2 linked regions of the Tribolium castaneum genome follow. The protein of the gene in region 1 binds, or shares a complex with, the protein of each later gene. Links are inferred from orthologs where the notes say so. Each region holds a gene or a part of one and is shown in the gene's direction. Other genes may lie near its edges.

Region 1 (3,932 bases):
TGTTTGGATTCGTCGATTGCCATAAAACCGGTTTTTGATCGGTTTCAAACCGTGGTTATAACCTCTGGAACCCTATCCCCTCTAGATATGTACCCCAAGATTTTGAACTTCCATCCTGTGATCATGTCTTCGTTCACTATGACGTTGGCCAGGCCTTGTTTGCTACCAATGGTAAGTCCAGAGGTTGGTGGAGTTCATCATTGACCATTGAATGTTAAGTTATTTAAATAAATTTGCACAAAATTTATAGTATATGTGCGGAATAAACACCGTTTATTTTTTGCATTTTTGAACGTAGCTTTTCATGACTCTTTGTGAGGAAGTTTTGGGGTAATTATTCAAAAACCAAGAATAATAAAAAAAAAAAAATTGAATCATTTTTAAGGAAGAAAGTAGGTATGTTTCAACATTTTTTGGAGAGTTAAAAAAATGAGGAAACTTTTAAGTTTTATCACATAAAAATATTGAAAGATTGGTGTCTCTTACTTACAGTAATTAGTAATTAACTAATTACTCAAAAGATGCGATATTAACCTTTAAACATGAAAAAAATTCACTAGTGGAAAAAATGAAAATTTTAGCTAATAACAACGCTTAGGCCATTATTCGTCATTTATTACAGAAAAATAACTGAACCATTTATCCGTGGAAATTACTATAATTTATTTATTGAATAAGAACTGAATTAACATTTAAAGTCAAATATCTTTTGATTTATTAACTTCAGACATAACATACAGTTTTTAGAAAAATAAAAAAAAATGGATGTTCCATTTAATTAATTAGGAACCTGTTCAAAAATCGTGCCAAAATAATGCAGTTGATGTTCCGCAAATTTGATAAAAATGCAACTACGATATATTTCACCATTTTTAAATATAATATGGTCTGATTAGTTGGAAAAAGATGAACAAACGTGTCCGTAACATAAACACTCATTACAACTTACAAAAAAGTAAAAACTTACCCTTTCTGTTGTCCTTGGAGCCCTGAAATCAAAACATTGATATCAAAAAAGATTGCTTATGATTTAAACCAGTTAATAGTAGGTATTTCAGAAAATGGTAACAGAATTTTTTGTAATTCGGAAGTTGAAAGTTGTATTACTGTGAAAGAGTATATTGGATCTTATCTTTAGAAATTTCTACTATTAAGTTCAAAACTTTTGATACTTTTGATTTAAAATTAATCAATAAATCGTCATTCATTCCGAAAAATTTTATTCTTCAAAAATAATAATTACATTATTAACAAACTTGATAATGTACCCATTATTTTATTTTAATTTATTTTATTCGTAGTATTGGCAAAAAACGCTTGGTTCCATACCATATTCAGTGAGCGGATAAATTATTATTAACTATTATCTTATTAAAACCTAAGATATTTTATAATGGCAGAAATGCTCGAACAAATCAATTTCTTTTTAGCCATGTCGATAGATCTTTTAATTGTTGAACCAAAATAAATAAAAATAAAAAAAACTATCCAAAAGAGTGAAAAGCGTAAATGTTTAATACCATCAAAAAACAAACACAATTTCAAATATCTAACAAAAAATAATTCTTTTATTTAATTAAAATTTTCGAAATGTTCCCACATTACGAAGAACTTCCGGACTTTTCAAATCGTCTAAATTTTGTGGTCTATTCTCTGTTTTCTCTCCAATTGTTTCCAAAAATACAAAAAGAAGGTAATAGGTTTGTGTTTGAAACTACTCTCATGATTTTTTTTGTCGAAATAACAAATTTATTAGTTTGCTTTTTGTTAGTAGTATTAAAATTTATGTTGTCACCTAACATTTCTAGAACGGGCTTTCGTTAAATTCTATCGGTTGCGTAACACCCATCAGATCATCTCCATTCACTACTTTAGCAAATATGCAACCAATAAAAATCTATCCGACGATAAGTGGTCTTAGAAACAGAGGGTAAGATGTTTCGAAGAGACTAAAAAATTAGGGATTCCATTAAAAAAATTCGAGAGACCATTACTCAAAAACCTAAAGTTGTAAAATTTTCAGTTCAATTGAAAAGAGAATTAGCCTGTTGGACAATTTTTGCATTTTAAAGTTATGTCATGGAATATCTGTAGGGTGAAAAACGATATCTTTTAATGAAGACGGCGAAAAAATCATACGTATAATAATAGCACTGGAGGAAGAAAGTCTCTTCTCTTCCTTAGATTACTGTACTCTGCTTCGCTTTGGGCATTAGTTCAACTTCGGGAGAGAACCTATGTCTGTCCTCTCTTGGTATACAAATAACTACGAGTGTGGTTTTAAATAATTTTGCCGCTAACTGTATACTTTTAACATCATTATCATCATCTCATTGGTCGTTTTAGATCGTGTCAAAAGGCAACGACCAAGTCGCAATTTCGTCAAAATTCGAGACACGCGAAGACAATGCTGTTATCCGAAACTACGGCCAACTCTTGGTCGAAATAGCCGCCAATGTCCCCGACGGAATCGTCTGTTTCTTCACCTCTTATCTCTACCTGGAATCGGTCGTGGCCAGTTGGTACGACCAAGGCGTCATCGACAGCCTCCAAAGATACAAACTCCTCTTCATCGAGACCCAAGACTCGGCAGAAACGAGCTTCGCCCTCATGTACTACATCAAAGTATGTTTTTCCCCCAGCCTGTCCACAGTCGGTAAAGTAGGAATTTCCAGGCTTGCGAGTCGGGCCGCGGGGCCGTGCTGCTCTCCGTCGCGCGGGGCAAAGTCTCCGAAGGGGTCGACTTCGACCACCACCTGGGGCGCGCAGTCCTCATGTTCGGCATTCCCTACGTGTACACCCAGAGCCGCATCCTCAAAGCGCGCCTCGACTACCTTCGGGACCAGTTCCAGATCCGGGAGAACGATTTTTTGACCTTTGACGCCATGAGACACGCGGCCCAGTGCGTGGGGAGGGCTATCAGGGGCAAGACCGACTACGGTATCATGATTTTCGCCGATAAGAGGTTTTCCAGGTCGGATAAGCGGTCAAAGTTGCCCAAGTGGATCCAGGAGCATTTGAAGGACTCTCTGACGAATCTGTCGACGGAGGAGGCGGTCCAGGTGAGTTGGGGGTTGTGAGGGAGAGTGGCGTGAGTTTGACTTGCAGATTGCCAAGCGGTGGTTGCGACAGATGGCGCAGCCGTTCACTAGGGAGGACCAGTTGGGGGTGTCTTTGCTCACTTTGGAGCAGTTGCAGAATTTGGAGGCGAGTAAAATCCAAGAGCAGGCGCAACAAAATTGATTTGTTATTATTTTTTACGTAATAAAGTATTTTCAAGAAAAAATGTTTTATTCCTGATTTCCTGACCCAATTGAGCGTAAAATGCACTTACACTCCTTTAGTACGAGGTATCTTGTTGATTGTTTCCGGTGTGCGCTGCAAGTTCAGTGAAGGAGAAAACTAGTTACGATTTTACTTGGAATAGTACTAATTGGGTTTGAAGTTAGTTAGAATATTTAAAAAGGAAACTGACGATTATTTATTAGACAAGAATGCATAATAGTTGTTCGTAACCAGAAATTTTAGGTTTTTTGCGTGAATAGAACGTAATCTGAATGCCTGACTCGTTTTTATGTCACCAATAAGAGAATATATGGATAATTCTGGTTTCTGATAAGTAGCGAGATTGCTGATGGTTGATATTAAAAACTGGATTTCCGTAATTAACTCGGATGAAGATAATTATCTACACTCATTCGCAAACTATTTAAATAGTTGTAACATTTCGCAACAGAAAATTAACGATTTAATCTGAAAAAAAAACAACCGAGAGGATAAAAAATATGTTTGGTGCAATGCATTATATTGTACAAGCTCGTGCTATGTAGCATGTTATACACTAATAACAATTTTTTTTTTAATTCTCAAACTAAGGTAGGTACGCTTAGGGTATGTGCAACTAATAATACACAAGAAATATTCATTAAGGT
Region 2 (3,034 bases), on another chromosome or scaffold:
ATTCATCTAAGTTATACGTGTTAATTATTTTCGACCTACCAAAATCCCGTCTCTTGGACTTTAAGATTCGTCGCTTCTTCAAATTCTCTGAGCGCTGTCTTCTCGTGGGTCTTACCCCACTGCACAGCAGCAACCCTGTCAAGCGAATAGCCTTCCGCCAAATTTTTAAATAAAGAGGGTGGGAATCTTCGTCTACTGCAAGCAGATAGTACCATGCCAAACCTGCTGGCCGTTAAACGATGTTTCCTTGCTACATGCCAATTTTCGTTAACATGTTGGCCCCGAGTGCACGCCTCAACCAGTTTAATGCGTGCCTCATCTATTCTGCACTTCTCCAAAAGAAACTTTTGTTTGTCTATGGCCTGCACGTATTCTAAGCTTTGTAGAATTTCTTCGATATCTGCAATAATTTTTCTGGCTTCTTCACTTGCTTCTGGTCTTAGGAGCCAAGTGAAGCCCACCACATTCGTGACGCCTATTTCGGCACGGAACTGAATAATTTCGTCCTCAGTAGAGGACCTAGACAGTGCCGTATAGTTTGATAATTTCGGCTTGTAAACATCAGCTAACTTAATGACTTCTGTTTGTGGTGTTGTTTTTGATGGGGCACTCCACTGACACTCAATGTCAGTAGCACTTACATTATAATGAGCATAATATAATGCTGCAGCCATATGATGGCAAGCCACGTTGCCCCTTGGGCAGGTACAATGTGCCGTCTTAACCCCTTCTTCTAGGTCATATGAAATCTAAAACACACTTTGTAGAAGAAATGTCTAACAGTTAAATAAATACAAACCTCCACAGTATAATTTAGCTTTTTCATGCTCGGTAGAACTTCTGCAGAAATTCTCATCGGTTGTACTGTGCCATCAAACCTAAATTTGGTGACGTGACCGCTGGTAAAAGCATTTTCTCCCCGAACTAAAAAGCGATTACCGTCCCCAAAAAATTTCGCAATAAAGTGAAACTTAACAATGTGCTTTTCTGCCACTAAAATGCATAAATATAATAGTTTCTCAAAGTATAATTAAAGCTTACTCACTTTCTCACCGACAACGTGGTTCCCTGTATTCTTTTATAAAGTTCGTATTTTCACAAAAAGTCACTTCTAAATTAAATTAAAGTCTCTAGTGGCACAAATTACACCCGCTGCAGCTATTTGACACGTTATTAACGCACAAACACAACCAAAAAACCGAAAAACGTATTACACCACATGTAAAAGACTGGTTGTTTAGCTTTGAGCAACTGACCTACCGTAATAAGAGTGGGGAGGTGACGTCACGACTGATAGCGCGTATTTTAAAATTTAGGTGTCTTAACAATAAGAGATAACAATAGGAATGATTAAATAATCATTTTGTTAAGTATGGAATGGACTTTTACAACTTAATAACATTGAACAACAAAAATAAATTACTAATTTTAATTATTAGCGCTTTGTTGGGTTGGTATTTGATACAACTGCCAACAAAAACATAACCTTAGATTTGAGCGGCAAATTAACGCGGAATTGTTTGTGTTTTTAAACAAAAAAAATGTTTTATCATGTAATATTACGACTAAATAAATCACTGTTTTATACACAATACTTTTTAGATATCGTTGGAGCATGAAATTTTATTACACCCGCAATATTTCGGCCCACAGCTACTTGAAAAGGTGAAAACCAAGCTGTATACAGAAGTCGAAGGGACCTGTACGGGAAAGTCTGTATTCAAATTTACTTAAAAGTGTTTATCTTCATTCTTTAATTTTAGATACGGTTTTGTAATTGCTGTAACCACGATAGATAGCATAGGGGCTGGCCTTATTTTACCTGGCCAGGGATATGTGGTGTATCCAGTAAAGTATAAAGCTATAGTTTTCAGACCATTTAAGGGAGAAGTGCTTGATGCTGTCGTACGGCAAGTTAACAAAGTGATTACGGAATATTTTCACTTCTTTTTTTACAAGATTGGGTTTTTTCTAGGTGGGAATGTTTGCAGAAATTGGACCTTTATCATGCTTTATCTCACATCATGTGAGTTTTTTTTTAAAGGGTGTGATAATATTGTGACACTATTTTTTAGTCTATACCGGCAGAGATGGAGTTTTGTCCAAATGTAAATCCTCAGTGTTACAAAACCAAAGATGAGGATGTTGTTATTCATGCTGAAGGAGAAATTAGATTGAAAATAGTTGGTACACGTGTGGATGCCACTGGAATAGTAATAAATCAAATATTTCAGTTCCAATTTTTTACGATTCTTTTTTAGTTTGCAATTGGTACTTTGATGGACGATTATTTAGGTTTGATAAGTAACTAGAAGTAAGGGCGTTTTAATGTATTTTAAGTCAATAAAAAGTTTTTTCAATCACTATATGGCGTTTCTTTTCAAATTACCCGCTTCTCAAAGTTTAGTTGCAGACTGCAGGCAATGCAGAAATCTGTTTTACTGTTGTAAACATGTCAATGTCAAGTAATTGTCATTAAAATTTGTTAAATTTTTTTTTAATCGTAAAGTTATAATTGGTTTCAACAAAATTCAGTGCCAGTTATTGTAGAAGAATCGCATTACTTCCAGAAACCACGAAAATATTGTTTTCCGCATTAGTTTCATAACTACGCGTAATCCCCATTGTTGATTAGTAATGGACGAAGAGGTGTTGACGACGTTAAAAATCCTGATAATTGGAGAGAGTGGCGTCGGGAAATCCAGGTAGAACAAGAAACCAAACTATTTACCCCACTTACTACCACCTACTTAGCATTTTAGTCCGCTTTACTGAAGACAACTTCGATCCTGATCAAACGCTAACAATTGGCGTTGATTTTAAAACCAAAAAACTCACAGTCGATGACAACACCGTAAAGCTGGCAATATGGGACACAGCTGGTCAGGAGCGATTCCGAACATTAACACCCTCTTATTACCGCGATGCACAAGGTGCTATTTTAGTTTATGATGTCACCAACTATTCCACATTTGCGAAACTGGAAACATGGTTGAACGAACTGGAAACATACTCGACGAAAGCGAACATAGTC

Evidence for each region.
Region 2: Xpd (region 1) and Polr2G share a complex: the UniProt entries of both Homo sapiens proteins name them as parts of the TBP-based Pol II pre-initiation complex. The link is inferred for Tribolium castaneum from reciprocal best matches to the Homo sapiens genes ERCC2 and POLR2G.

The regions. Positions count from the first base shown.
Region 1 is NC_087394.1:27,629,841-27,633,772, forward strand, and holds the end of Xpd (general transcription and DNA repair factor IIH helicase subunit XPD), read left to right. Parts: coding exon 1-171; intron 172-2,346; coding exon 2,347-2,625; intron 2,626-2,675; coding exon 2,676-3,062; intron 3,063-3,108; coding exon 3,109-3,243; 3' UTR 3,244-3,291; downstream 3,292-3,932. UniProt on the Homo sapiens protein: ATP-dependent 5'-3' DNA helicase. Component of the general transcription and DNA repair factor IIH (TFIIH) core complex, not absolutely essential for minimal transcription in vitro.
Region 2 is NC_087398.1:9,594,667-9,597,700, reverse strand, and holds Polr2G (DNA-directed RNA polymerase II subunit RPB7), read left to right. Parts: upstream 1-1,414; 5' UTR 1,415-1,541; coding exon 1,542-1,553; exon of another isoform or gene 1,554-1,602; coding exon 1,603-1,712; exon of another isoform or gene 1,713-1,763; coding exon 1,764-1,923; exon of another isoform or gene 1,924-1,975; coding exon 1,976-2,026; exon of another isoform or gene 2,027-2,075; coding exon 2,076-2,213; exon of another isoform or gene 2,214-2,261; coding exon 2,262-2,312; 3' UTR 2,313-2,366; downstream 2,367-3,034. Other genes in the region: uncharacterized protein LOC107397903, read right to left, coding at 40-749, 800-993, 1,046-1,046; ras-related protein Rab-18, read left to right, coding at 2,638-2,705, 2,755-3,034. UniProt on the Homo sapiens protein: Core component of RNA polymerase II (Pol II), a DNA-dependent RNA polymerase which synthesizes mRNA precursors and many functional non-coding RNAs using the four ribonucleoside triphosphates as substrates.